Linked DNA regions of Notamacropus eugenii. The protein of the gene in region 2 purifies or fractionates together with the protein of the main gene of each other region. This does not show direct contact. Links are inferred from orthologs where the notes say so. Each region holds a gene or a part of one and is shown on either strand. Other genes may lie near its edges.

Region 1 (7,587 bases), about 250 Mb from region 2:
AGAACGGTCTGAGGGTACAGCCCCAACAAAGTACAGACTTCCCCTCAACCTCAACTCTTCCTTATTCCCCCAGACCTCTCACCTGTGCTCATTCAACTCCATTTCCAGCTCAGCTGCTTTGGATGCCAGGCCTCTCTGTTCTTGCCGAAGGCGGTTGAAGCCAGCAACCACCTAGGGGAGAAGAGATGAAGTGAGGGAGAAAACTCTACGGAAGATAGCAAGAGCAGGCTCCTTAGGTGGTCACCTAAATGTTGAGAAAAGTACAAATTGGGTCCCAATTTGGCCCTGTTTATCCCTGTCTAAAGTAGTCTTCCCTCAAGGGATGATTTCTACCAAAGAAAATACAGGGCAATGGCCAGGACAAGTACTTATACTGGTACACGTTAGGAGAGCAAATACAGATGGACCCTCCACATATAGCTGTTCTCTGGGCTTTTGCTCTTTGTACCTACTATTTAGGGCTGAGACTATAAACTAGAAGAGAAAGAGTAGCCCAAATCCCGACCTAATCATTAATTCAGTGCCAAATCTATTCTTCCCTATAATCTTTCTGAACAAGACCTCCTTCCTTCTGTACTTTCACATCCAGAGAATGGAACAGTTACTACCTTAGCCGTACAGAATTCCTTACTTCTGGTGCCTCACTCACTATACAGTATATCAGTATTTGCTTCACCTCTATTTAAACTCCTCCAGTGGCTTCTGCTGCTCAATAAAATTACCTTGTACTTGGTCACTCTACTTCTGGTCTCTCAACATTCAAATTCATCCTTCACACAGCTGCCAATGAGATTTTCTAAAGTTCAGTTGTGACAACGTGGCACACTCCTACCCTCATTCAATAATGCCTCTTTTTAGCATTTAAAGCCCTTCATAATCTGGCCCCATCCTACCTTTCCAGCCTTACTGTACATTATTCCCCTCCATATACTCTTATAATCCAGCCAAACTGGCCTTCTTGGTGCTCATCACGTAACACTGTTCCCTTTCTCCATGCCTTTGCACTAGCTGTCTCCCATGCCTGGAAAACACTCTCTACTCACTCCCCACTTTTGGAATCCAAGTTTACTTGAAGGTTCAGCTCAATCATCATCTACTGCATAATGTCTTTCTTTATGCCCTTAATTCCTTGTACCTTACTTCCCCAAGGTTTCTTATATCAACATATATAAGTATATGCTGTCAACTTGTTAGAACAGAAATTTGAATTGTTTGACTTTTGTTGAATCTCTAGCTTCTGGCACAGTGTCTGACACATAGTAGATGCTTAACAAATAATGACTGATCAACTTGAACTCCAACAACATCCAAGCGACTCCTGTATGAATGCAAATGATGGAACCTACTTAGGAGGAGATTCACCTGAAAAGATAGAAGTTTCCTGAGCACACACTCAAAATGTATTACTTTGTGAAATAAAATCAATCCCTGAATCCCTGAGGTTAAAACAACTAAGGGGAATTAGATATTTAAAAAACAAAATTACTCTTGTTAACTGAAGGCCAGCGATGCTTCTAGGTTAGAGGTGAATTTTGAATCCAATGCCGCACCAAAGTGAATCCATTTAAATCTGTTAGAGAATTTTGCCATTTCTGTATAGAAAGATAAAACTTTTACCAGCTACCCAAAATCTTAGCTGCAAAGTTAAGAAGCAAAATAATCCAACACTAGCTCTCATGGGAATGCAAAATACTGCTCCCAGAAATCCTATCTACAAATTACTTATTGTTTTTTTTCCTTTTCCTGTCCAAATGTTTATGTATAATTCTCTATTTCTCTTTTCCTTATACCATACTGTTCTCATGTTTTCTGGCATGGCCAGAGATGACCAGATCCAAATGAGTATATACATGAAACATATATACATACAGGAGAAATGGAAGTTCTCCCAGAAGGAAGAGGGGAGGGAAGGCAGGGAAAAACTTCCAGCAAAAGGTGGAATTTGAACTGAGTCTTGGAAGCAGCCAGGAAAGTTAGAAAGTGGAGGTAATGAGGTGGAGCATTCTAAGTGAGGGGCAGAAGATAGACCAGCAAGAAGGCCCATGTCCCAGAATGCCAGACTACATGGAAAAGTTAGGAGGGGGGGCCAGGTTTCAAAAGACTTTAAAAGCCACAGACAACATATTAAATTTTATATTTGATATTATAGGAAGCCAATGGACTTTACTGAGCAGGGAATTTGACTGCCATGGTCATGCCAGTGTTTAAGAATATTCACTTGCAAGCTTTTTTAAAAAGGAAAAGAAGAAAGTGCAAGTCACATATTACACTGCGCCCGTGGTCAGGCACAGTACAATTTCGCGGTCCTCCAAGAACAGGGATCTTGGAACACAACCCTGCAGGGCTCAGGCGGTGGAAGTCGCTCCGGCTCGGCTCTCAGGTCAATCCTGCAGCCCCGCAGGAGGGGCGGGCCTGGAGCTCAGGCTAGCCAGGGCCGGGGCACCTCAAGGCACTTCCCCAGGCTGGTGGATTTCAGACCTCATACGGCTCTTTCACAGGGAGGGGTCTGCTCCCCCGCTCAGTCACAGAAAACTGGGGAGACTCCGGCGATCGGCGTCTTCCGGGCTCCTAGTCACGGATGGGGCCCCCAAGCTCCCGTCACGAGGGGCTCCCCCACCCTGAGCTCCCCGTCGTGTCCACACTCACCCCCCGTCTCCCCTCCGCACAGGGGGCCCCAGACGAGCCCGGGCTGCGGCAGGGGGCACCGCACGTGCCACGGGCCCCGCTCCGCGGCCCCCAACAGGAGCCGGGGCGGCGTACCGGCAGCTAAGCTCACCTGCTCCGCTGACACCGCCCCCTTGCCCGCGCCGCTGCTGCCGCTGCTGCCGCTACCACCGCTCTTGTTGGCCCGGTTGCCACTCTCCGCCATCTTCACCCGCCCGCTAGCTTGGGCCCTAGAAGCCCAGGGCTCGCCTCCCGGTGCGTCACATCCGGACGTCTCCGTCCCAGACTCCTCCGGATCCTGATGCTTCGAGAGCCATCTTGGTTAGGGGCACTTCCGTCGGGGGGGGGGGAGGGGAGGGCCCTGACATTTCCGGGTGCCCTATGGCCTCAAAGCTTCAAGACCTTTGGGCTCGAGGCGCGAGGAGGAGCTGCGGACACCAGTCTCCAGGGCTCCAGCTCCATGTAGGATCCTGGTCTGGGGCTTCCTCTGCTTGCACCAGGGCGTCCCTCCCCGGGAGGATGGGGGAGGAAGGAAAGGTGGAGCGGGGGCAGGGGCCGGGGGCCGGAGAGTGAGTGCACGCGTGGAACGCGGCGGGCATCGCTATCTTGCCCTCAGGGATTCCCGGCATCGGGAGGGAGAGACTTGTCCTACGTCAGTAAGTGACCTATGCCCTCCGAAGAGAGAGCGGAAGGCGAGCAGCGGGCCGTGCCCCCACCTGCCGGGGCTTGGCGGCCCGCGGCTAGGAGGCTACGAGAGGGGCGGGGCGGGAGGGCGGGACTGGTCACGTGCCTTGTGGGCAGCGAAGGGGCGAGAGGACCCCCGAACCTTTCTCTTCCAGGCTGAGCTCCACCCTCGGGCTGCCAAGAAAGTGCCCGTTCCTGCTGCGCTCTGCCTTCAGGCTGCCTGGCATCTCCCTCCTCAGTGACCAGGCGGGCACTGGGCGCAGCAGGTAAAGCCCACGGCCTCTCCTCGAGGTGGGAGCGGGCAAAGGGAAGACCCGCTATCTGCACATCTAGCTCTTCCTAGTTTACCAAGCACTTCATTTAACCCCCCGCCCGCGGAGGCCCAGGAAGGATGAGGGACTGCTTAAGGTTACGTAGGGGCACTGTCAGGACAAGAGCTGGAGCTAGTTGAGCCTTGTCTAATGTGTTTGCTGGTTTTCCTGGTGTGTCAGAGGCCAGAGATCATGTATGGAGAAGATGCCCGGTTCTCTTTTGAGCTCTCACTTTCTCCATTTGGGGACGCCTGGATCTTGCTCTTCACAGGCCTGGGACCATGGCCGGCTCCTCTCCTCGAGGTTTGCCCCTGGTAGCGGTGTGCCAGGTGACGTCCACGCCGGATAAGGAACAGACATTTGCAGCCTGTTCAGGATTGGTTCAGGAGGCTGCCAGGTTGGGTGCCTGCCTGGTCTTCCTGCCCGAGGCCTTCGACTTCATTGGTCGGGACTCAGCGGAGACACTTAGGCTGGCGGAGCCATTGGGTGGGGATCTTGTAAATCGGTATGCCCAACTTGCCAGGTATGAAAGGCAGCAAAGGAGCATTGTGGGTGAGTAGGCTCCGCTGACTGTGGTGGAGACGGGGTTCCGAGAAGGGTTGTTTGTTGCTTTCTCTACAGGGAATGTGGTATCTGGCTATCTCTGGGTGGTTTTCACGAACGTGGCCAACACTGGGAGCAGAGTCAGCGGATTTATAATTGTCACGTTCTCTTGGACAAGGAGGGTAAGACTTTGTCCCCAACTCCCTCTCAGTCCTCTCCTGCCCTTTTGAGTTGCATTCCTAGAATCCTGTTTTCAGCATCCAACCTCACTCCCTCCACCTTCCTTGCCCAGAGTGCTTGGAAACAATTTACCAAGCCTTCAAGGCCATTTACCAGTTAGATTTCCTCTGCTCCCTCTTGTTCCTCCTCCTCTTCCTCCCACACCCCCAAAACACATACACCTTGTGGACATAATGTTTGTGCCTCTGGTTCATAAGAAGTTCCCTCTCTGGGGTCTGGGGGATATAAAATCATCAGCAGAGTATTCCTCTTCTACTCCCAAGGCTCTATTGTGGCCACGTATAGGAAGACACACCTCTGTGATGTGAAGCTTCCAGGACAGGGACCCATGTGTGAGAGCACCTCTACTATACCAGGGCCCACTCTGGGGTCCCCTGTCAGTACACCAGCTGGCAAGGTTGGCAGGGAGGGAGGGGAGGAAGTTAAAGTGGGGAAAAGGAATGGGAATATGTAGAAGGGGGCAAAATGACAGTGGAATACTATATCAGAGTGGCCAGCACCAGATAAGCTAAGTATTCTACTTTCCTCCATCCCAGGTAGGTCTGGCAATCTGCTATGACCTACGTTTTCCAGAGCTTTCCCTTGCACTGGCCCAGGATGGTGCTGAAATTCTCACCTACCCTTCAGCCTTTGGCTCAGTTACGGGACCAGCCCATTGGGAGGTAAGGACCTACCAATATTTAGTACCTACGTATTCAACTGAACAGAAATGCTGTATTTCTTTCTTGACTCCCTCTGACTGTCTCTCAGGACTGAGTGGGGGAATCCTTGCTTCCAAAGGTCACTGCTCTAACTCCCTATTTCTCTCCTCCAGATGCTGAAGCTGATTTCATCCACTCTTGTTCCCCCCCACCAGGTGCTGCTCCGAGCTCGGGCCATTGAGACACAGTGCTATGTAGTTGCAGCAGCACAGTGGGGACAGCACCATGAAAAAAGAGGGAGTTATGGACACAGTATGGTGGTGGACCCCTGGGGCATCGTGATAGCACGCTGTTCTGAGGGGCAAGGCCTCTGCCTTGCCCACATTGACCTGGCCTATCTCCACCAGATACGCCAGCGTATGCCTGTGGCCCAGCACCGAAGACCTGACTTGTATGGTAATTTGGGTCGCCCAGACCCCTGACACCTGCTGACTGAACTGGGTCCTGTTCTGGGCCAGTGAGGATCTGTGGCTTGGAGGCAGGACCCCAGGCCGCTGATGAGCCTCTACTCCCTTTCCTTTACGGCATACAGGTTCAGCCTGTTGTAAAGCCCCAAAAAAATGCTTTTATGGGCTCAAACTTTAGTTACATATAGATGGGCTCTTAAATCACAATTATGAAAACTAAATCTACACCAAGGTCTAAGCACTAACAATGAAAAAAATACAGTCCTGAAGTCCAAGTCTCGACATCTCTTTTGAGGGTAAGGGGAACAATGTAGCATCAAACGTACTAGACAATAGTAACAAGTAGGGCCCGTTCATAACTCTTCAAAATGAATGCACAAATTAGTTTTTATCCCAGCCCGGTCCTAGGATTGAGAAGGAACTGTGGCAATTCAAGCACTGAAGCCCAGGAAGGGAAAGGCTATACTGAGACAGACAAAGCTCAAGGGGACATCCCAGCTCCGAGTCCACCCCAAGCCAAACGACAAATGAGATGGGAATGGGCTGCAGGATACGTTTATTTTCACTTGAACATGGAAGGAAAAATGCCACACGCCCCTTTCTCAGGGAGTGTGTGCTCCCAGCAACCCTTCTCCCCATCCTGCATACACACAGGCACTTGTGCACAGCGCACACAGACAAGGGGTTCTTGGGTGGCCCCAGGCCTCCCCTCTCACTGCTTCCTAGAAGAGGAGCAGACAGGGTAAATGAGGGACCCAGACTAGGAAGAGCCCCTAATCTCTGTCCCTGGGAGATGGGGGGAGAAGAAGGGAAGCACCAGGGCCAGGAGTGAACAAGTGAGGAGGCCATACCTTTACAAGTGTTATTCTCAGAAGGGCGGAGGGAATGTGCTGGTAAATTCCCATGATACAACCCTGGCTCTTACCTCTTCAGCAAGCTCCCACACCACAGCCCTTTGGTTTCTCAGACAAAACAAAACATAACTAGCCCTCATGAAGCTGGAGGGCAATTGAGAGAGCCTCCTATTGACCCCCCCCCAAACAACTTCAGCAGCGGTTCCACAGAGGGCTCTGACATCAGACTGCTGCTTCCTTCCTTGCCCAGGCTTGTGGCAGTCTGGGTGGAAGAGGGGGAGGGAGACACACCACTTCCACTTTTTTGTCTTTTCCTTTAAAAAAGAAGGGGAGGGGGAGCAAAGGTGACAGGAGGGGTGTGGAGAAAACCCCAAACAGTGTGTGAACTCCAGAGATGGGTGCCGAGCTGAGGACCCAGATTTGTGAAAGGTGAGAGGAGGGTCAGGGCAGTGCCTGCAACATCAAGTTCCTCAGGAGTTTCTGTCGGCCCAGCTCATAGTCCTCCTCATCCACATTCACCAGCAGCTTGATAGCCTCATGGCCCACAGCCTGTTTAAGTGAGTCTGTGATGAAGACACCTTTGAGCGCCTCCAGGAGGGAGCCGTTGATGTAGTCGCGCCAAAAGGCATCGAGGTAGGTGAGCTCAGAGAACTTGATGTCACAGATGATGGAACCCAGGTCCCGGGATTTGAGGATGGTATTGGCCTGGTTGAAACGCTCAAACTGGCGTTCAAGTGGGTCCTGCTTATTTGAGAAGACGTTGCCCTGCAGAGCTGTCTCATGCTGGCAGTATTCAGCCCTCACCCGAAGCCTGATGTCTACAGGAAAGAAAAGGTGAGTGCTTAGGCCATACCCTGTTAGAAAAGTGACAGGGGTGGCAGACCAAGGCACTACAGTAAGGTGGTAGTTACCCTTCTCCAGGGTAGAGTTCCGCTATGACTTCTCTATACTTGTCTCATCTTGGCATTTCCTTTACATACTCTGAATTTGTTTGAGCCCATGCTTGGGCCAAGAGGAAAAGGTCGTGAAGGGAAAGAGTTCTTAGTAATAGGGCACAGTAAAAACATATCGCCTCCAAATCAAACTTCATTTGGGGACATGGGGGTGAGCTTTTTCTATATTAAACAGACTTAGCCTCAATTGCATAAATTTAACTCCTTTTCTCCACCTTGGACAAGAAGAA
Region 2 (6,896 bases):
TGAAAAAGGTGAACAAATGGTCCCTTGTCTGCTCCCTGTGGGGTGTGGGGAGATGGTGCGTTCTGCCCTGGGTTTGTGGGCTGGCTTGGTGGCGGCCTGTACTCAGTGCTGCTTTTCTCTCTGCTTCTAGTTCCGTTCCTTGTTCTTTGGTTCAGTGTTGGCCCCAACAGAACCTCCCTCTGAGCCCAACCCGGTACTAGCAGAAGACAGTGAGGGAGAGGGCTGATTGGCTCTCAGGGACAGCAGCAGCTGGGCCACCTCACATTCTCAGGAGCAGCGTCTGGCGAGTCTGCTCCTCTGCCTGCTTTGTGTCAGAAAAGACTTGAACTGTGCTTGAGGAGGATGGGGGTCTCTATGGAGATGGAAGAACCTGGTCACTTCCACCCTGGGCCCGAAGCGGACGCTGGCTCTGCTTCTGCTCTGGCCACCACAGCCAACCCCTCCTTCCTCAATAAAGATTCCCAATCCTGAAGCAGACATGCGTCATTCTGGACAAAAGGCAGGCTAATAGGCCAGTGAGAATCCAGCTTTGACATTTATTCAAAAAAGACCAGATAAGGGCACAGAGCAGCTGAGCCCAGATGGGACTCAAGCTTTCTTCCCTGCTCCGAGGGGCCTTCCTTTTCCCTCCCCAGCTCCTCCACCCAGGATCCAGCTCCCAGGATGGGGCGCTAGAGGGAGAACAGGGCAAGGCTAGAGGGAAGTAGACTATTTGATTTTGTTTTATAAAAGAAAATTACACCAAGGTTTGGTGCTCCCTGCAACTAGAGGCTCTCCTGGATGTCAGAGACCCCAGGAGGAGCCAGGATTTCTGTACAATCAGTCATGCCCACGACGGCTATTTCTTGGCCTTGGCAGAGTTACGGGGTGGGGTGATGGGGCGGCCACCAGGATTCAGGCCACTAAACTGCCCATATTTGCCTTTGTTCTTGTCGGCTGGCTTAAGGATCTGCGGAGAGATAGGGCTGGTCAGATGGGCTGCCCTGGGGAGAGGCTGGTCCCAGAAAGTTTCCCTCTCCAGCCCTGGGCTCACGCACCTGGAAAGAGCACATGAGGGTTTCATCCACACTCATCATGGCGCCTGCATTGTCAAACTCACCACAGTAGTTGGGGGCAGAGAAGAGGGTCACCAGTTGCCGCTTGGCAAAGAATTCATAACCATCTTCTACCACCTGGGCCAAAGCAAAGCCTGGTCAGCATCCCTCCCTCTGGGCCGGGCCAGGTCGTCCTGCCCCTAGCCCCAGTCCCTGACCTGGTGTGCTCTGCAGATGAGGTCCAGGTCATGTTTATGAAGGAACTTGGCCACCACCTCAGCTCCAAAAGTAAAGGAGACGCCACGGTCATTCTCCCCCCAGCCTTGCACGTCTTTGTCAGGGTCTGACCACAGGAGGTCACACAGCAGCCCTTGGTCCGGCACGTCTGTGGGCCTCATAATGCGCCGGATCTGCTCCATGGACTGTAGGTCTGGGGACAGTCCTGGAGAAGGCGGCCTCCTCTGAGCCCCTCAGCCCTGACTGGCCTGGTGGGTGACCACTCCCCTACCCCAGGCTGGAGACCCTCCCACCCTCTGGAAGAAGTGGGAGGTAGCCCCAGGGTCACAGTGCCCCACACACCAAGCCTCACCCCCGTGACAGCAGAAAATCTTCTCGTCTACGATGGCTGCAATAGGCAGGCAGTTGAAGCAGTCCGTGAAGGTTTTCCAGAGCTTTATGTTGTAGCGTCTCTTGCCTGTGAGGGAAGGAGAGGGAGCTCCATGAAGACAGGCTGCTAATGAGCCCTGGGGGCTGACCCCCCACTTAGCCCTGAGAAGGGCTCAACTACCCGTCCGCCCTTGTCCTCACCCCCCACTCACACTCGTCATAGAAGCCGTAGATGCGGTTGATGCTGGCACACTCGTGGTTCCCTCGAAGGAGGAAGAAATTCTCTGGGTACTTGATCTTGTAGGCCAGCAGCAGGCAGATGGTCTCCAGGGACTGTTTGCCCCGGTCCACATAGTCCCCCAGGAAGAGGTAGTTGCTCTCCGGGGGAAAGCCCCCGTACTCGAACAGTCTGAGCAGGTCATAGTACTGGCCGTGGATGTCACCTACGTAGGGAGAGGAGCCCGTGAACAGGGTGGGCCAATGACCCCCTGGACTCATGAAGAGCCCAGACCAGGGAGGGAAGGACCTCCAGGCCACTCCAGCTCCATTCAAAATCCCCCTTGGGAAGGCAACTGTCCTGGGCTCAGAGAGTGGGGCATGGGTGCCCAGCTCCCACTGCAGCCAATCACTGGCCCCGTCTTGACCCTGTTAGGCCCTGGGGGAGGGGGTAGGGTGCAAAGCACCACCGAGGCTTGGCCCAAACCCTACAAGGGGCTGGTCGAGAGGTGGGAGGGCGCCCTGGCTCAGACTCATCTCCCACCTCCAGGCCTTTGTAGAGGCCGTGTCCGGCGTACGGGCACTTCCGGCCGCCCCCCTCGGGGGTCTCACCGCAGATCTTGAGGGGTGCCTCGAGCTCGAGGAGGATGGGCTGGCTCAGGAAGATCTCCCGGGACTTGAGACACAGGCCGCGGATCTCGTTCTCCGTCAGCTGCACGTTCTTGCCGGGTCGGGAGCCCTGCACTGGACACAGGCCTCAGAGACCGCCTGCCCCCGCCCCCCCCCCCCCAGTTCCCGGGTGCCCCCCGCCCCCGCCGCACTTCCGCCCGGCCCCCACCCTCCCCTCCCGCGGGCACTTCCGGCGAAGCCCCGGCCCCGCTTCCGGCCGCCCCCGTCCGGGCCCCCGGGCCCCGCCCGGTACCTTCCAGCAGCCTCCCGATGATGGAGTCCAGGTTGAGCTTCTCGCTGTCGGCCATGGCGGCACCGCCCCGAGGGCCCCGGCTCCGTCCCTCCGGCCCGTGCCCGCCGCCGCCGCTCCCGCCGCCCGCTCACGCCGCCGCCGCCTCCGCCGCCGCGCCCTCCGCCCTCTGCCCGCGGCCTCAGCCCCCGCCCAGGCCCCGCCCCGAGCCGCGCGCCACAGCGCCGCCCTCCGGGCGGGAGGGGAGCAGCCGCGGCGGTGGCGGAGGAAGGCGGGACCAGTGAGCGATCGGAGGGCTCTTATAGGAGGAGGAGGAGACGAGGGGTGGGACCGGGAGAGAGCCGGCGGCCCGGATAGGAGGAGGGGAGGGGTGGGACCGACGAGTCAAGAGCCGGCCCCGACAAGAGGAGGAAAAGAAGCAGGAGGAGGGCTAGGGAGGGGCCCCAGCCAGAGCCGGAAAAGAGGCCGAGAACAGGGGCGGGACCAGGAAATGAAGAGGGAACTGGAAGGGGGAGTGGGCGGGGCCCGTGGTGGGAGAGGGGCGGGGCCTAGAGGGGGCCGAGAAAGAAGAGGGAAATGGGCCGCGAGGTGGCGCTTTGCCCACGGTGATCCTTCAAGCTGCGGGTTCGAATATGCCTTCGGACCGTTCCTCCCCAGCCCTAGACCCCTGGCTGCTCTCCCAACCTCTGCCTGCTTCCGTTTCCTAGTCTTTAAAATGGGGCTGTCAGGACTTTATAAGCCCTAGAGCGCTACAGAGACGTTCGCCTTGGTGGTGGTGGTGATGATGAGGGGGGAGGGGCGGGAGTTCGAGGGAAGACCAGGGAAGTGGAGCTGGAAGGAAGGGAGGCCTGGGGGGACCCTCCCAGCAGGGGACCCCCCCCCCCCGGGAACGCTCGGCCGCCTTCTGAGCCCTCGGGCTCTCCAGGACCCTGGACAGTGGCGCCGTCCCTGCCCCCCGGGCTCCCGCTTAGCTGTGGGCCAGCACGCAGGACCAGCCCCCACGTGGGAGCTGGAAGTCCGAGGAAGCCCACCCGTGGTCCATCCTGGGCTGGAGGCCGCGCCATGAGATTGTCAGATTCAGAACCACAAAGGGAGAAACTGAGTCCTAGAGAGTCGGAGGCTTCTGACTGCACAGGGCTTCCTTATGTGAGGAGGGAGGAGAGACCCCGCAGAAGCAGCTTCGGCAAGGTTGGGGGGGGGGGTCGGCCCTCTGGATATAAGGGTGATGGGGCAGGGGAGAGCCCAGCCATCCCTGGGGCGCAAGAAGGAAAGGCAGGTGGGGGGCAGGAGGCTGGGTCAGGGCAGGAAAAAGCGAGGGGCAGAGTGGGCCCCCACCCCCACCCCAGGGGCTACCCAGCTAAGGAGGAAATGATTCTGGGGAGGAAGTGAGAGAGCGCCAGCGCCCCAGAGGTGAGAAGAGGGGCTGAGCAAAGCAGCAGCGGTCTGAGGTGAGTCAGGTGTAAGCTGAGGAGGGGGAGCTCAGGTCTGGGCCTGGGGGTGAGGAGGAGGATGGACGAAGCTGGGTTGAACCTGGCCTGGGGGCTGCCAGCGACCTCCTGGTAACCCCGGGATGCTGGCTTCTGATTCTTTGCAGGAGCAGGGGGCAGGCCATCCATGGCTGCCGCCCTGGGGGAGGACCTGGCCCAGGCCCCTGATATCCAGGATGACTCCAGCTCCCTTGGCTCAGACTCAGAGCTCAATGGTCCGGGACCCTACCGCAGGGCTGACCGCTATGGCTTCATTGGGGGCAGTGCCAAGCCCTCAGACGCAGGGTAAGCTGGGCAGTGGGAGGGCTGAAGCCTAGCTCAGTCACATATCTGGGGAAGGGGACATCCTGGGGATCCAGGTGAGGTCAGGCTATATGTAATCATCATCTGAGTCTCAGGGGTTGCATGTAATTCAGTGTTTCTTTTGATCCAGAGTAGGCAGAGTCTAGTGGGTTAGGGTTAGAGGCTGGGGGAGGGATGTAGAGAAAGTCTAGCTAAAGCAAGTCAGGTGAGGAGCTGGGAAGGGAGGGGGCTAGAGATTGGAAGTCAGAAGATCACAGGACCCTTGATTTAGAGTGGGAAGGGACGTTCAAAGGTCTTCCCGGTGAGGAGGTAACCAAGGACTAGAGAGAGGAAAGGACTTCTCTGGGCTTCAGTCTCCTCATCTGTAAAATGGGCAAACACAAACACTTGACCTACTCAAATCTGTCCCTCTTTGGGAAGTGTGGCAGAGGTTATTGGATAAAGGCATAGACAGGCAAGAGTTGGGCAAAGCCTAATGGGGCTGGGTGGTTAAAGGAGATGGGCTTAGGGGTGGGCATGTATGCTGGGCCCAGCGATGAGACTGGTGAAGGGGGTCTTGGGGGAAAACCATGCCACTCAGGAGCAGAGAGCACAGCCCCCTCTCTGTGCTTGGCAAAGTCCATGAACCAGAGAGACTCATCTGTGGGATGGGTACAGTCAGGCCTGGAGTGGGCCAGAAACAGACAAGCAGCTTCCTAGCACCTATCCGCCCCCGCCCCCCTCACTCTTTGCTGCCTTTGGCTGCCCAGTTCTGAGCTCTCTTGGCTTCTGTTCTGAGCTGGCCCAGCAGGGAGGGGGAACTAGGCCATACCCCCTCCCTCTTCCGACCACACTCCAAGCCACATCCTTCCCATTACTGTGACAACAAGAGACTGAGGTTAGCTGCTCCCCTCCCCCTGCCATGGTCTGCAGACAGAAGGGAGATGACAGTGACCATTGGGGACCCTGTCCTGTCTGACCCCATAGCCCAGGGCAACCCCCACTGGAGCTGATCCGGCAACGAGAAATGAAGTGGGTGGAGATGACGGCTCACTGGGAGAAGACCATGTCCAGGCGGGCCAAGAAGGTGAGGGCCCCACTTGGGGCCTCCATTTCATTCGGTGAACATTTTTTTTAGGTGTCCACTATGTGCTGAGCCCTGGGAATAGAAAGAGGGACTGGAGATTTCATTGGTAGACAGAATTCCCAGGCCGATGGTGTTTCAGAAAAGTCGCAGTGGAAATATTCTGCTCTGTTGAGAAAGTTCAGAGGGAAAGATGAACTCTGTTCTGGGCATGTTGTGTTTAAGACATCTACTAGACATCCTGTTTAAGGTTCCTGAAAGGCAGCTGGAGCTGGGAGATTGGAGGTCAGCAGAGAGATTGAGACAGGATGGGTGGATTTGGGAATCATCACATTGAGATGGTCTTTATATCCATGGGAGCTGACGAGATCCTCAAGTGGAGCAGTCCAGAGGGAGAAGGGAAGAGGGCCCAGGACAAAGGCCAGAGGGAGCCCCTCTGGTTAGAGGGTGGGATCTAGAGGAAGATCCAGGGAAGGAGACAGAGAAGGGGAGTTCAGAGAGGGAGGAGGAGAAGCAGGAAAGAAGGGTGTTCCAGAAACCTAGAGAGAAAGACAATCAAGGAGGAGATGGTGATCAACAGTGCCAGTAGCTGCAGAGGCCAAGGAAAATCAAGATGGAGAAAAGGCCCAGGATTTGGTAGTTAGGAGATCATTGGTCACTTTGGAGAGGGCAGTTTCCGTGGAATGAGAAAGTCAGAAGCTAGATTGTGAGGAGTTAAGAAAAAAGTGAAAGGAGAGACTGTGGAATTGGAGATGTGGGAAGTTTTCCTGAAAGTCAAGGGCTCCAGGGACCCAAAAAGGCTGGGAGCCCCAGGGTGACATGGGCTGAAAGAAAGAAGCTTGTATGGAGAGTGAGTTGTCAGTCAGGACAAAATGAAAGGATTAATGTGTAACAGTGAGAGAGGATGAAACTGTCATGGGTCCAGGCAGCAGGACTATGCAACTTCCTTCAGTGCCTTTCACAGGGAACAGTGGAGAAGGGGTGTGTGTGTGTGTGTGTGTGTGTGTGTGTGTGTGTGTGTGTGTGTGTGTCTGTGTGTGTCTGTGTGTGTGTGTGTGTGTGTGTGTGTGTGTGTGTGTGTGTGTGTGTGTTGAGTGGGAATTGCACCAGGGCCCAAGGCAAGGACCAGTAGAGTCTCTGGAATTGAGAGATGAGGAGGCTGATAAGGGAGAGGCAGGGGCTGAACCTCAGGGCCTCTACCTCTAACCCTTCCCCGACCTGGAAGTCCTTTATCACAAGCAGGATCACTCAGCATCAGTTTCTAGACC
Region 3 (6,914 bases), on a different chromosome or scaffold from region 2:
CATCTCCAGTCATCCTGATGAATATCTGGTCACCGGATTCAGATGGCTATGGAGGAGAAGTGAGGCTGGTGACCTGCAGCCCTACCTCACTCAAAACAAAGTCAAGCGCAAGTCATGTCATTATTTCTCTGATGACATGGTCTTCTTTGGCAATGAAGGACGAACACATACACACCCCACCTAGTTGCCTGTCAGTGATGGAAGGCATTCATATTTCAGTAATGGATTAAACTAGATGATTTCTGAAGTCTCTTTCTCTTATGATTCCATAACCATATGATTTTAATATTCATACTTCTTCATGAGAGTTTTAAAAATATCTGCATCCTCTGGAAGAACCTCATTAGGTTCTTTGATATCTTTCTCTGGCATTCTTTTCCTAGTTTAATTTACTTATATCTCTGCTGCTGATTCTGATGCTTATTGGATCAAAATACTGAAATGAGACACTGGGGGAGGGCTATCAGAATCTGTACCTGTGATGCCATCAGTTTAGGGAGTTCCCAGTGTGGAAACTTCCTCTACCATTGTAGATCAGCCACTCATTTGTAATTTATAGTTTTAGGGAGCTGCCTGGAGACTGGGAGATAAGTAGCTTGTCCATCATCATGGAATCAGTCTTATAGATTTAGAGTTAAAGAGGATCTCAGAGGACATCTACTCTAGCGCCAACAATTTACAGATGAATAACTAAAGCACAAAGATTTTAAGTAATTTGCTCAGGGTCTCACAAGCAGTAAATGGTAAAGCCAAGATGAAAGGCCACACCTTCATTTTAAATTCAATAGTTCTCTCTTTCCTTACATATTCAGTGAGAAAATGGGCTTAAACTACAGTGGTAAATAGAACATATGTAGAGGATGCATGTGGCAAAGAGTTAATTCATAGTTCCTGGTTACTGAGTTCTTTTTCCCTTTATGGAATCTCCAAGAAATTTCCTTTAGGTCTTTGTTGAGTTCCAAGTTTGTGTTTTGGTAGAGTCCATAGCCTTTGTTTCTTTTTGCCCCTAATGGGGCATGATTTCTGAAGTTGACTTTCTTAACTGGTCTGTCCTTCTACATCCATCTGCAGGTGCTTCCACTGTCATCATCCTTTGCTATCACCTCTGATGGACCTTGTCATCAACTTTATGAGGTCCACTGGGACCTCAGATGGTTCTGAACCTTCCAAGGTCCCAAGGCTGTAACCTGGTCAATTCTGTCTTAGGACACATACATTCACCAAGATTAGGGAAGAAGAAACACAAAAGGAAGAGCAGCCATGAACTCACTATCACATGGCCAGGTGGGGGAATATACCTTGCTGCCATTCCAGTACAAGGCAGCTCTCAGCAGATTACTCCTTTTGTATACACATTCACTTCTGACTCAAACACTCATGAGTCATCAGTCCTTCTGGCTCCTCAGTCAGTCAGAAGACTTTTTGTCACCACACAGTTTACTCAGTCACTCATAGCTACAAGTAGTACCCTCAAACTTTAGAAACAGACAGAAAATATGCTTTAAGGACTGAATTCTGTCAGGAAATATCCACATCTCTCACAAGGACTTGGATTTACAGACATACACATACGTACAGTAAATTAACAAATTAATCTTTCTGGGAATCAGCTTCAACTCTCCCCATTACTGTTAAGCCATCCCATCCTCCTAGTCACCCAAGCTCACAACCTTGGTGACATATTCAACTGCTCTCTCAAAATGTATCCCACATATCCAAATCTGTTCTCAAGTCTTGTTTCTATCTTCACAATATCTCTCTTAGAGTCCCCTTCTCTTCACTCACACAATGCTCTGGAGCAGGTCCTTTTCTGCTCAGCCTGGGCTAGCTACTTCAATAGCTTGCTGACTAGTCTCAAGTCAGTCCTCATTCCACTCTTTCTTCCACTCAGATGTCAAATGGATCTTTCTAAAAGAGCAGATCAGACTCTGTCATCCTCTCCCTTTAATAAAACTCCAATGCTTCTCTGTTATATTCAGGATCAAATAGAAAGTCCTCTGTTTGGTTTTTTTAAAGCTCCTCATAACCCAGTCCTTTTTTACCTTTCCAGTTTCCTTTCATTTTATTCTCTATTAACTCTATGATCCAGTGACACATCCCTTCCCCTACTTGGCTGTTTCTTCACCTGACTTGGTACCCTTCCCCAAGCTATCCTCCATTTCTGGAATACTCTGCCTCCTGCTTTCTTTCAAGACTCAGCTTAAAGCCCACCTCCTAGAAGAAGCTTTTCCCATGTCTCCTTTCCATCCCCCCCTTCCCTCTGAGGTTCCCTTTAGTCTGTATACATCTAGTATGTACAGCTGTTTACACGTTAGCTTCACAAGAAGGTGAGGGTTTTTTGTTTTGTTGCCCTTGTGTCCTCAGATCTTAACACAGTGTTTGGCATATAGTAAATATTTAATTAATGCTTGTTGACTGACTGCCTGACTCATCTAAAAAAGGAGCACGCACAATGACCTAGATGGCCTGAGGTCCTGGGAGTTCTAAATCTAGGATCTTACAATTATTCTCTGCCTCTCATTTATATCTTGGGAAAACAGATTTTAAAAAAAACAACTCATTTCTTTAAAGCACTTCCAGACATTGTTTCCCCACAGATTATGCCACAACCACACTGTAGGTTTATTGCATGGGGAATAGTTACAAAAAACTATACAATGTAGCGACTTTTACAATAAAGCGTTTTATAACAATGTCACAGGTAGGGTTAAAAAGTTTACACAATCCCTCAATCATAAAGAGAACTCTGCTTTCATCTTCTTTTTTTTCCAGAAAAAGTAGCTTTTTAGAAGTTGAACTGAAGTTCCATAAGCAAAGGGTACATAACTTCTTCAATAAGCATGTAAGCACCCCCCAAACTACTTTTTCCCCCTTCAATAGATTATCCAGATAATTTTCTTAATCTATAACTTCCTTCTCTAAGGCGTGTAGACACAAGTTAGGGAAAGGCAGTCAGTGAACATAGGAAAATTCAGTATTTTTGTTTATAAATGACCTTTACTCAAAACGTGGAAGTATCCATAAGGACAACCTAGTGCCAGCCTGGCCTGTTTTATGAGTAGCAGCAGTGATCGCTTCTAGACTCGGGGCTGCTGCATTAACTTTTTAATGCACGAAGGGCTCGGAATCAGGGCAGTTCTGGGGCTCCTAGCACTTGAGTGATTGTACAAAAGCAAAGCGAACACCGTCAGTAAGAAGAAGGGCTGCGTGCTGGAGGGGAAGAAGCGGAAGCGGGTGGTCTGGGGGAGCGGACCGCACCAGGCACCCGAGGATAGCCGGGAGCTGAGAGTAACCTTAATCCCTGGAGGGAAGGGGACCGAACCTAAACGCAGACCTGGCCCTTCCACCGCAGCAGCGCCGAGAAGCGACGGCCCGAGTTTCTGTCCCTTTAAGCAACCGGGGAGGATTAGGGTGAGGGGGAGATCTCCGTGGCTTGGTGGTCACGTGAAGCAGGGAGAGAAGTTGGAGGTCCCGGAGGTGGCTGGGAAGGAGGAACTTCGGGGGAAAGTTTTTTTTTCTTTTTCTTTCTTTCTCTCTCTCCCCCCCTCCCTGGGCGCGGATTCGGGGCGGGCGGGCGCGCAGAGGCAGGAGGAGGCGGAGTCGGCGGCCGGCTCGGGAGGGCCGTTCTCCCAAACTTTAGTTTTGGTGTCCGCCGAGAGTTTGGGTCTCAGTCGGGCGCAGCCGCCGCCGGGAAAAGAAAGGAAGGGAGGGAGGAAACTGAGGGAGAGAGAAAGAGGAGAAAGGGACGAACGAGCCTGAATTCCGCAGAGGGAGTTGAGGGAGAAAAGTTTTCCGGCGGCTGAGCCACTCCCGAAACTTGGGAGCGGCGTCCGGGGAACAGTCCGGGGGCCCCGTGGGGGGGGGGGGGGGCAGAGGGGATGCGGCCCTGGCCCGCGGACCCCTAGCTCGGAGACCCGGAGAAGGAGGAAGGAGAGGAGGCCAGCCCAGCCGCCTGCGCCTGCGGGGCCCCCCTCTCATTCTAGTTGCGGGTCCGAGGCTGTCCCGGACGGGCGGAGCCCTCCCCTCTCCGGGTTAGGGGGTGGGAAGCTCAGGGTGGGAGAGCCATGGATCCGGGCCAGCAGCCGCCGCAGCCGCCCTCCCAGGGCCAGGGGCCGGCTCCGGCTCAGCCCCCCCAGGGTCAGGGTCAGGGACCCCCGACGGGCCCTGGGCAGCCGGCGCCTCCGGGAGCTCCAGGCTCCCAGGCTGCGCCGCCGCCCCCCGCCGGGCATCAGATCGTGCACGTCCGGGGGGACTCGGAGACCGACCTGGAGGCGCTCTTCAACGCCGTCATGAACCCCAAGACCGCCAATGTGCCCCAGACTGTGCCCATGCGCCTCAGAAAGCTGCCCGACTCCTTCTTTAAGCCCCCGGAGCCCAAATCGCACTCCCGACAGGTAACTTCACGTTCCCTTCCCCCCTCCTTGCCCTTGTGAATCCCTTCTCCCCCCCTCGCGGGGCTCGGGGGACCCAGGGAGTCTGGGCTGGGGGGGCGCCTTGGAAGCATGGCCCTTCTGGCTGGCGGGGACGGGCTGGTCCCGGGGGCTCTCAGGGCACTGAGGAAGGGGGTGGGAAACTGGGACTACGGGGCCCGGGCGGCGGGGGGTGAGGGGAAGTCTCTCCCCGACTGACTTTCCCCCTCCTCCGGCCCCTCCCTGCGGCTGTTCTGGGCTGAGATTTTTTTTTCTCTTCTCCCCCCGATCCCTGTGTTCCCTTGAAGTTCTACACAGTCCTGGGGGTTGTCGATTTGCGGGGCTTTGGGGAGGCCCCCTTTTAACTTCCTTTCCCCCTTTTTTCCCAGGTTGGCGGGAGGAGTTGGGGGGAGGTTTGTGGGGGGCGGGGAGGGGAGGAGAACGAACTGGGCAGGGGGGGGTGGGGGTGGGGAAAAGTTGCTGAGAGCTCTGTGCTACTTGGTGGGCTTGCACAATGCAAGCACCTCCCCTCCCTCCGCACCTTCCTTCCTTCCTTCCTTCCCCTGCTGGACGGAGGGGGAGGGGGAGGGGGAGGGGGAGGGGGGAGTCTGGCATTTCGTGTGTGGGTGAGTTGCCAGCGGCAGCCTAGTTGGTGAAGTTGAGCCCTGGGCCCCCCTCTCCTTGAGGGCCTCTCGGTCCGCATCAGTCTCCTGGGGAGTCAAATAATTGTTCTCTTGTTTTCCAACGTTGATTAGGGGGTGGGGGTAGAACCAGTCCCTTTAGTTTCTTACTCTTTCTCTGGCTCTCCGCTCTATCTGCCCACCCCCCCCCCCCGCCCCCCCCCAGGAAAGCATTTATTTCCGTCCCTCTGAGTTTTAGCACTTTTCCGAGCTACGAAACACAACTTCCACTTCAGAGACTTCCGAGACTTTTCCTGAAAGTTGTTTATGGAGTGAGCCCTGCCCCCCTCCAGCACTTTTGTGCCTTAGATCGTTAGTTCTTTTCACTTTTAAAAAGTTAGTCGCATTAAGTAGTTTTAGAAATTCACTCTCCGGTGAAATGCTTTTGAATGAGCCATTTTTGTTATTTGTGAAAGATTAGAGTTGCTTTTTACAACTTTTTTTTTTTAAACACAGGCAGCCTTTGATAATGCTATACAGGTTGACTCATGAAGTCCAAGTATGATTAAAAGTTAATGTTTGGGAAGCGATGACTAATTCTAGGATAGCCATTGCTTTTTCATTCTTCCTGGGGTTGTGAACATGGCTGCTTTTAAATATTCGCCCCATTTCATTATAATATCGTTTAGGAGATTTTCAAAACCAAAAACCTCGGAGGTGCTTTCTTCTGGAATCAGCTATATGTTAATTAAATTGCGGTGGGTTAAAAAAACACTAAACATCTTTTCATTTTTTGAAATAACTTGTTAGGCAAAAACTTGGCATAGGATTCTTGTTCAAAATCTAATTTGTTTTCCAAATACTGCCTAGTAGTTGGGCTTTGAGTAACTAATTAAAGAATATCTCTCCCACTCCCACTTCCCATTCACATTAGTTTAAAACAGTCTACAAGAATGCAGTAGACATGGGCCTTTTTAGAGTCTAAAGCTCTCTTAAGCCTCTGGACAACTGGGGGGGAGGGGCTTCTGGTAAAGAGAAAGAAGGAAAAAGTAGTTAATAGCTATATCCCTCCGTAGACAAACTGAAAAGTGGGATTGGGGGTGCATCTGTGAATTCGTTATATAGATATACAGGTACGCTTTAGCAAGACTAGCTGACAGTTAAAACGTCCAACAGAAACTATAAAATAGATTCCCCATTTTAGATTTACCCAATAAGAACTATATATTAAAAGGAAATGGAATTGCAAATGGGTATATCTTCCAAATATTATACCAGTATATAAGAGCCAGTTAAATAGATGCATTGGCTTTTCATAATCCAAAATCATTAATTGGACCCCAGGAAGATTAGTAACTATGTGCCCTGAATTTTCCTTTGTCTTGTTGCTACTTAACATACCAAGTTTTCTTGATTAGTTCACACTAATCGTGAATGGAAATACAAAGGCAAGTTCTGATTTAAGGCATATGTTGTATCCTACTAATTTCTTCCTTTCATTGCCCATAGGAATTTAAGAAATTCCAGGCACTGAGTAATCTTTCATAACTTTTACCTGATTGTAATCTCTGATCAGTTTCAAACTGTACAATGTTCCTTGACTAACTAAATTAACATTTTAAACATCCCCTACTTTTAGAACTGGAAGGGATCTTCACGGTCCTCTACTCCAACCCTTCATTCTACAGATGAGGAAACTGAGTCCAGTGAGATTATAACTCAAGCTGTTGTAATGCCCTCATTATTTAGGTGCAGAGATGTGGTAATAACTGTTTAATTTAAATTCAGGTTCAAGTGTGGATTTTTTTAAACTTGTTAATGAATTTTCTGTTGTCAGAAACAATGTTAGCATTGTTTAAAAGTTGTTTTAATTGTGATGCTTTAT
Region 4 (7,974 bases), about 7.9 Mb from region 2:
ATACGGGCTGCAGTGCTGAGGGAGTGGTCCACAGGGCCAGAGGAAGGGCTGTCTGAGGACTGCACAGAAGGGTCACTAGATCCAGCATGGGAGAGAGGAAGGGGATTGGGGGGGAGGGAAGATGGATAGGGCAGCTTCCCAAGCAGGCACATTTGGGCAGGGTGACCAGCCAAGCTCACTCACTTCTACACTGCCTGTCTGGGAGCGCAGCACACGTCCAGCCCACGAGGATCGGGCCAGGTGCAAGAGGCATGACCGCTGGAAGGTCTGTACCTCATCCTCCAGGCACCGCAGGCGTGCATGGGCCTCCTGAAGCTGATTCTCCAGCTCTGTCTTCTCCTATAGGGAGAGATGAGAAAGGGTCTGCAGAGCCCCAGGCCCAGCGGCCCCAGGGGGAGGAACAACTCTGCAACCTGGAGAGAGCAGCCAGCCTGGGGGGAGGAGGGCACCAGCCCCAGCAGACTGGGGGCGGGGGTGGGGTGGGGTGGGGGGGTACCAGGCCCAGCAGACTGGGGTGGGAGGGTTGGTCCAGGTTCAGGAGCCTCAGGCCTACAGAAGAGACACACTTGGCAGGCTTGCTCCTTTTGGGCACTCAGCTCCTGAGTCATCTTGTCAATCTGCTGCTGCAAGGCTTTGATCTGCTCCCGGGAGGTCCTGTAGGAAGGTCAGAGCAGGGGTGTGTGGGAGGAAGGTACACAGGGAGGGGACAGAAGCCTGATGGGGAAGGGGGCCCTGAGGGTTACAGACCTTTCTGGCTTCGAGTCTGTCAGCTCATGGAGAATGTAAGTCATCCGCTTTCCAGATGGACACTGAGCAGCCTTCCGAAGAGCTTCAATTTCCAGCTCCTTTTGAGCCAGCAGCAGCCTCAAGACTTTTGGATCCAGGTGCTCCAAACGGCAACTGTAACCACCATATCTGTAGCCCTTGAACCCTGGCACTGGTCCCAGGTTCCAGAGCTGGACACGATCCTGGCCTTGAATGCTCAGCCGGGACCTCCTGGACTCTAGCCCCAGTAGCAGAGGCCTTACATTCCAGCCCTGGTGTCCCCCCCGACTCCCTGCCCCGGCCCCTGGACCCTCCATTAGGGCTCTTACTTCTGGCTGTTGGGAGACATCAAGAAGGAGACAGAAGACAACTTGCCATTGGCACCTTCAGGCATTGTTCCGGATTCTGTGGCCTCCAGGAAGTCGCTGCTCCACATGAAGGAGGGCCAGGAGATGGTCCAAGAGGGGTCATGGACCTGGAGCCCCTGTCCCAAGTCACTTCCCAGCTGCTCCAGGCTGGAGGAGGCATCTCCCCCCTGCTCCACAGGCTGCCCAGCCATCCTTGGTGTTCCTGGGGGGAGCCGCCTGGGAGACAGGCTGGGCTGCTGCAGCCGACTAGAGGTGCCCACCTACGGAGCAGAAGAGGGGACAGACTCTCCAGCCGCCTGTATAGTGTCCCAATCCCTGGGGGTCCTCCCAGATGCCACCAGCTCTAGTGGAGCGAGGCGTGGCAGGATTCCTTAGTCCCATTTTACAGATGAGAAAACTGCCTCAGAGTTTCAGGTTTCTGCTCCCCCCCAAACTGAACCAGAGGCTGCTGGTGGTCAATCTTCCCTCTCAATTATCCAGCTCTGGCAACTACCCCTCCCCCCTCACCTGAGGCAGACTGTGAGCTCAGGGTTCTGGAGCCCAGGCTTTGTTGCTGTTTCCACGGTTACGAGCCACCTCCTGCCCCAAAGGCCCCAGAAGGAGGGGCTGTTTGTGCTCCAGCATTTCATATGCCTCAATTGTTCCTTCTGGCACACTAGGCTCTAGCAGGGGTGGAACTGGGAAGAAGGAGGCTATCCTAGAGGGAGCTCACCAGCAGAAGGGCCAGCCTGCTCAGTTTGGCCTCTTCTGGGGAAGTCTGGAGGAGCAAGAATCTCCTCTGTTTGAGATTCCCCCCTTCTCCTTCCCTAACTGTCCCTCCCCCAGCTAGAGCTGCTCTCTGCTGGGTCTCCTCAGAGGTGGCTCCAGACATGGGGAGCAGCCAGGTAGAGGACACAGCCACCCAGGAAGAACCATTAGAGACGTGATGATGGATCAGCTAGAATTGATTCAGCATCTCCAATGTGCCAGGCATCACACCAAGCCCAGGGGATACAAAGAAAAGGAAAAGAGTCCCTGGCCTCAAGGAGCTCCTGGTCTAAAGGGGGGACAACATAGAACGAACTTTGTATGAGTGGCCAGAAGCTCAAAGCATGAAGGGCCATCCGAAAAGGGGTCTTTCAGTAGACACTTGGAAGAAGCTAGCTAGGGAAGCTGGAGATGCAAAGGCAGAGTCCAGAAATGGAATAAACACAAGCTGGCCAGTGCCCCTGGACCCTAGAGTGTAAGGAAGAAAGAGACAATGCTTTTAAGGCCAAAAAAGATTTCGTCGTTAGTCCTAGAGGTGGCTGGGGGATGAGAAAGTGCCAGGGGGTCTGAGGGTAGAAGGTCATTTACGAGATCATTGGTGACTTGAGGAGGGCAGATTTAATCAAATGATGTGAACAGAAGAGTGAGGAGTGGCAATGCTGGTTGTAGATGGCTTTCTCCAGGAATTCAGCCACAAAAAGAAAAAGAGAAGGGGGTAGGGGCAGCTAGAGACGGTAGGGATCAGGAAAGAGGTTCTTTTTCCAGGGTTGGGGGCGTGTTTGTAGGTCATACACAGATGGAGCCAGTAGCATCAGAATGACTAGGGGCTGTCTAGAAAAGGCACTGTGGTGAGCAGGATAGTGCCTCAATCAAGGTGGCTGCCTTGGTCCAGTCGGGGTCTCTTCTTGCAGCCCTAAGGTTGGCAGTCTTTGGCTAAGAAAACAAAAGCAGTGCCCTGCTTCTCTGTCAACCATGTGTCCTACGATGCTGGGACCCTTCCCTTTCCCTGGGGAGAGCTAAAAAATGAAAACCATACATCCACTGAATTGTCCTCAGCAATCAGCAAATGTGTTAAGCACCTACTACACACTGTTGAGGTTTGGGGTGCTAGGAACCACAAAATACCAACAAGCCAGGTCCTGCTCAAAAGAATTCAACACAAGCCTTCTTAAAGCCAAAGAAAAACAACGTTTATGAAAAATTCAACATATTGGGTTGACTCTTAAGGAGCCTAAGTATTTGTAACACTTATATTCACAAGCAGGCCAGATAGAATCTCAGCTAGACAGTTTGAGCTGGATTGAATCTAAGCACCTTCATGGAGGCGAGATGGCACTTAAATACAGAAAAAGACTGAGGGGAGAATCCAGATTTTGCCAAGCAGTCTCAGGTCCCAGGGATAGTCTGGACAGGGGAGGTCAGCCTGGAATATAAATCAAACCCAGGGAGGATCCTGATGGGAGTGGCCCACAGTCCAGACAATCCACAATCCTGGCTGGGCCACTGGGACCTCAAGAGAATGCTAAGAAGTGGCAGGAAGGGAGGAATCATGAGAATGTTAAATCAAGTAAGGGGAATCCAAGGAGCCCCCCAAGGCCAGGCTTTCCGAGGCCCTTCAGACAAATGGGACCAAAACCCTCCCACTCCAAGAGACAAAGGTCTCGGCTTGGGCTTGTACCCCATCAGCCCCAGATACCATTCCAAAGATAAAAAAGGGTTGAGGTCTAATAGGGGAAATAATCTGGATGTGAAAAAAAGTATATCCAGTATATACATATATAGTGCCTTCACCGCTGTCTCCAACGGGGCCTGTCTACAGCTCAGTTATACCCAAGTGTTTGCAGGTTGTCACCTCCATTAAATTGGGAGTACATCGAGGAGAGGGGCTGGCCCTTAGCACAGTGCCTGGCACACGGCAGACTGTGCTTAATAAATGCTTATTTCCTTCTTCCTCTAACTCTTGGACCTTGGGCAAGTCACTTAACCCCAGCTGTCTCATCCTGGGTCATGTCCAGTCATACTGATGAGTATCTGGTCACTGGATTCAGATGGCTCTGGAGGAGAAGTGAGGCTGGTGACCTGCACAGTCCTCCCTCACTCAACATAAAGTCCAGTGCAAGTCATGTCATCATTTCTCCGATGGGTGGTCTTCTTCAGCAAGGAAGGACGAACACACACAACTCGTGGAGGAGGTAACGCTTGAGCTGGGGTTTTATAGAAGGCAGTTGGGGGGGGGTGATGTCTTCACTTGGCCTGAACTGCATTTCAGTGAAGTAGAGCTGCACTCACTCTCTCTTCTAGAGTCATCAGAGTCCAACAGCACGACAAAAGTCAAGGCAGACCCAAGCACTCGGCAGCGCCTGCTTCAGCAGCCTTCAGGGCAGATTGCTCCTGTCTGCCCATTCCCCTGGGGAAGTCTTCAGGTGCTTGGGGGAGACGACCCCCTACCTCTACCCTCAGTGGGGCGGATCCACGTGCCACAGCATCTGGGAGCCAGCGGCCGGACCTCCCTGAACACCCTGGACCGTGTTAGCACAGGGTCTGAGGCTCCTCTCCCTCCACCTCGAGGTCCCACGAGTAGCCTTGGAGAGGGGCAGCCGCTCCGGGTGATGCCCCCCAGGATGAGTGCGCAACCCCTCTTCCAGCCCTCTCGCAGCGCCCCTTCCCCACACCTCCCCTGCCCAGCCCCCCTCTGCCTCTCCATCTCAGGCCCCTCTCGCTCCCCTCTTCCCTTTCTGAGACCCCTCATCCTCCCCCACCACCCAGCACCCAAGAACCGCGTCTGAGACGCGCCGCCGGCCGGTCCCACAAGCCCTGGCGCTCCGCCAGGAGTGTCGGGCGGGGCCTCAGGATAATTCGCGGGGAGAGGACACCACGTGGGCGCCAATGGCTACTGTGACAAATGGATCCAAACGAGCCCGAAGCCGCGCGTGCGCAGACCGAAGGCGGCGGCCGCGCCGTAAGCTCCGCCCCCCGCCGCTGTCCCACCTCTCCCACCTTGCCCCCACTCAGCTTCAAGGCAACAGCCAGTGACGCGCAGCGGGAGCGGGAGCGGTAGGAAAGGTGGGAGATGAGACAAAAGCCAATGGGAGGACGGCAAAGAAGGGGCGGGTCGGCTGCTGAGGGACCAATGGACGGAGAGGTGAGGCCCACCGTTCCGAACAGGTACCCGGAAATCAAGTTCCTCCGGACAAGTCGTGGCTTGGTCAAAGGTCAGAAGTGACAAACCGGGCAACGAGAAAACCATTCCCCCACGCCACGGGCAAGGGGACCCAGGCGTCCGGATTGGAGGACGACTTTGACCGCGGACTTCCGAGAGGCCGCGAGCCACGACCCCTGGAGTTTGGGGAGGTGACCGAACCACGTGACTACACCAAGCCCCTCCCATACCTGTGACCGATGGAAGCGGGGCGGGGCGACAACCAGGTAAACCAGACCCGGCTGGAGGCGTGGGAGCGGAGCCAGGCTCTCCAGCCAATAGATGCCTGACGTAGGGCTGTGAGGCGGGGCCGGAGTCCGTGAGTGGCCAACGGGAGCTCTAGGTGGGGTGGGGTGGGGCAACAGGCATCCGGCCAATAAGGGTGAGGCGTGGGACCGCGGGGCGAGCTCACCACTGCGACCAATGGGCGCCCGGGGTGGGGCGGGGGCGGGACAACAGGCGTAGGGCCAATAGGGGCGCTGGGTGGAGCGGGGCTCGCAGAATCAGCCAATCACGCCGTGGCGTGGGGCTGCGGGGAGGGGTTGCCGGAGCCCGAACCGAGCCGAGCCGGAGCTGGAGCTAGGTTGGTCGGTTTGGATCTGCGGGGAGAGGCTCCGACGGTATGCTCTGAACTGTTGGGTTCTCCTGCTGGGGTGACCTTTGCTAGGGTCAGCCGCTGCTTTTTTGGACCTGGGGGCCGGGGGTCAGAGGTCCTGCTGACCTCTGACCCCGCCCCCCAAACGGGAGCCGGGCTGAGGAGGCAGGGGTTAATGGCCTGGGTCCCCCCTGGGGTGGAGAGCAGAGTTCTGGGCCTTTAAGGGGCCCCTCTGGGGAGCGGGGTGTGGGGGTGGGGGAAGAGCCCAGAGCGCCCCACAACCTGCTGAACGGGGAGGGGTGCCCCTCCCTCCTTCCCCAGGTCCCGCCGGGGATGCCCCGGCCCTGCCCCCGCCCCCATGGAGCTGAAGGTGTGGGTGGACGGAGTACAGCGTGTGGTCTGCGGCGTCTCGGAGCAGACCACCTGCCAAGAAGTGGTCATCGCCCTGGCCCAAGCCCTAGGTGAGCGGGGCAGCCCCTGAGCTGCTGGGGGGGGGGGGGGGGTGCCTGGTGCCAGGGCTCCTCCCCCAAGACCACCTTCTCCTCTTTCCCAGGGCAGACTGGCCGCTATGTGCTCATCCAGCGCCTCCGAGACAAGGAGCGGCAAATGTTGCCCCAGGAGTGCCCCGTGGGGGCCCAGGCCACATGCGGACAGTTTGCCAGTGACGTGCAGTTTGTCCTGCGGCGCACAGGGCCCAGTCTTGCCGAACGGCCTGCCTCAGACCCCTGTCTGCCCCCAGAGCGGTTCCCTGTGCCGGCCAGCCTTCCCCACAGGCCTCTGCCCCCCGCCCCCCATGACTCCCCCAGCCCAGCCAAGGAGGACGTAGAAGGGGAGCTGTGGGGCCTGGAGCACCTGGTCCAGAGCAATGAAGCCGAGCTGGACCAGGAGGGCTTCTGGGCCCAAGAGCTGCGGCGGGAAGTGCAGCAGGAGCTGGAGCGCCAGAGCCGGGTGCGGGAACTGCAGGCGGCCACTGAGGAGTGCGCCCGGCGTCTTCGAGAGCTGGACGCTCAGGCCCGAGCCCTGGAGGAGGAAATCAGCTGGCGGCGAAGGCAGCAGCGGCAGCAGGAGCTGCCTGGCCCCCGAAGGCCCCAGGATGAGGCTGCCGCTGCCCGACTCCACAGAGATCTGCAGACCCAGGCCCTGCAGAGTGAGCGACTAGAAAGCAGCCTGGCCAGCGTTGGCCGGGCCCTGGCGGAAGCCGAGCAGAGCCTGCAGGTGAGGCCAGCCTGATCCATCGCCTTCCAACCCCCCTGAAGGAAGGGATCAGGCCTCTTCATGGCTCCCCTCTCCCACCCATCCAGGCCCAGGCCCAGGAGGTGGAAGAGCTGAATAGGGAGCTCCGACAGTGTAACCTGCAGCAGTTCATCCAGCAGGCCGGGCCAGCACTGCCCCCACGATCCCAGGGCCCTGAGTCCAGCCAGGTGAGAACCTTGGGAGCTGGGTCCCAGGAGGAACACCCCCTTCCTGGGCTCCCTCGGCTCACTCCCTGTTTGCTGCAGGATCCTTCAGCCTCACCAACAAGCCCATCCCACGCCTTCCCAAGATGTCCAGCGTGAGCCCCAAAGCCCACGTAAGTCTGCTGTCCCTGCACCTCGAGGAAGAAGACTCGGAGGAAAACCCCTGTGTGTCTGCCTGTCTGGCACCTTCCTTTCACTCAGCTTCATTGGCTCTCTCTCAAAGGCAGCTCAACGGGACACTGAGGCTGTGCTGAAGATAGTCACTGCCAGGCTGGGGGACCCATGTCCCAACTATCCAGCTGGTTCCCTTCTCCAGAGGTGCTGCACTGGCCAGAGATGAGTGAAGGATCACTGGGAGAGACACATATGGGCTGGGAGGAGAGTTTTGGTGCCACTCTGCCAAAGACCTACAGACAGAAGGACAATGGTCCCACAGGCTGGCCCAGGCTCCTCTGGCTGGAACTCACTTCCTTGGACCCCTGCTATGTGGCCAGTAAACTCCTAGCAGGAGTGGGGGAGAGGGGGCCTGAGTGTATCCCTGCAGGGGAGTGTCCTTTCATCCCTCACTGTGTGGATCCCCCTGGAATAAAGGCACCTAAAGTATGTTATATCTCTGTATCCCGAAGGGTGGGGCAGGCCTGAGTTTCCCTGAGGCCTGGGCCAGTTTTGGACCCTCTCCCTCCTTCTTTCCCCTCCCTGGAAATCTGCAGTCCACTTTGTCTATTGTAATCACAACCTTCCTCTTGTCTTCAGCTCCCACCCACTGCCCCGGCCACAGACCCCCACCCCACGAATAGTCAGCTAAGTCCCTGGATGGTGTCACACCCAGAGCTGTGGACCCCT

The links.
Region 1: the proteins of PPP1CA (region 2) and PFDN2 purify together in Homo sapiens (affinity purification with mass spectrometry; 3 studies listed by BioGRID and IntAct, with this or other methods). This does not show direct contact. The link is inferred for Notamacropus eugenii from reciprocal best matches to the Homo sapiens genes PPP1CA and PFDN2.
Region 3: the proteins of PPP1CA (region 2) and YAP1 purify together in Homo sapiens (affinity purification with mass spectrometry; 5 studies listed by BioGRID and IntAct, with this or other methods). This does not show direct contact. The link is inferred for Notamacropus eugenii from reciprocal best matches to the Homo sapiens genes PPP1CA and YAP1.
Region 4: the proteins of PPP1CA (region 2) and RASSF7 purify together in Homo sapiens (affinity purification with mass spectrometry; 3 studies listed by BioGRID and IntAct, counting the BioPlex papers as one, with this or other methods). This does not show direct contact. The link is inferred for Notamacropus eugenii from reciprocal best matches to the Homo sapiens genes PPP1CA and RASSF7.

What each region holds. Positions count from the first base shown.
Region 1 is NC_092873.1:267,547,264-267,554,850, forward strand, and holds the start of PFDN2 (prefoldin subunit 2), read right to left. Parts: upstream 2,966-7,587; 5' UTR 2,870-2,965; coding exon 2,777-2,869; intron 172-2,776; coding exon 83-171; intron 1-82. Other genes in the region: NIT1 (deaminated glutathione amidase), read left to right, coding at 2,966-3,126, 3,504-3,614, 3,931-4,182, 4,281-4,384, 4,706-4,839, 4,979-5,104, 5,257-5,565; DEDD (death effector domain-containing protein), read right to left, coding at 6,846-7,222. UniProt on the Homo sapiens protein: Binds specifically to cytosolic chaperonin (c-CPN) and transfers target proteins to it. Binds to nascent polypeptide chain and promotes folding in an environment in which there are many competing pathways for nonnative proteins.
Region 2 is NC_092873.1:19,860,425-19,867,320, forward strand, and holds PPP1CA (serine/threonine-protein phosphatase PP1-alpha catalytic subunit), read right to left. Parts: upstream 2,927-6,896; 5' UTR 2,834-2,926; coding exon 2,779-2,833; intron 2,601-2,778; coding exon 2,469-2,600; intron 2,084-2,468; coding exon 1,853-2,083; intron 1,729-1,852; coding exon 1,624-1,728; intron 1,477-1,623; coding exon 1,253-1,476; intron 1,173-1,252; coding exon 1,038-1,172; intron 950-1,037; coding exon 839-949; 3' UTR 517-838; downstream 1-516. Other genes in the region: cell cycle checkpoint control protein RAD9A, read left to right, coding at 1-8, 131-226; TBC1D10C (carabin), read left to right, coding at 4,390-4,547, 5,532-5,631. UniProt on the Homo sapiens protein: Protein phosphatase that associates with over 200 regulatory proteins to form highly specific holoenzymes which dephosphorylate hundreds of biological targets.
Region 3 is NC_092876.1:154,292,126-154,299,039, reverse strand, and holds the start of YAP1 (transcriptional coactivator YAP1), read left to right. Parts: upstream 1-3,913; 5' UTR 3,914-4,064; coding exon 4,065-4,394; intron 4,395-6,914. UniProt on the Homo sapiens protein: Transcriptional regulator with dual roles as a coactivator and corepressor. Critical downstream regulatory target in the Hippo signaling pathway, crucial for organ size control and tumor suppression by restricting proliferation and promoting apoptosis.
Region 4 is NC_092873.1:27,747,569-27,755,542, reverse strand, and holds RASSF7 (ras association domain-containing protein 7), read left to right. Parts: upstream 1-4,962; 5' UTR 4,963-5,306; intron 5,307-5,568; exon of another isoform or gene 5,569-5,699; intron 5,700-5,995; 5' UTR 5,996-6,032; coding exon 6,033-6,135; intron 6,136-6,227; coding exon 6,228-6,889; intron 6,890-6,975; coding exon 6,976-7,230; 3' UTR 7,231-7,734; downstream 7,735-7,974. Other genes in the region: LMNTD2 (lamin tail domain-containing protein 2), read right to left, coding at 184-339, 567-654, 748-900, 1,095-1,324. UniProt on the Homo sapiens protein: Negatively regulates stress-induced JNK activation and apoptosis by promoting MAP2K7 phosphorylation and inhibiting its ability to activate JNK.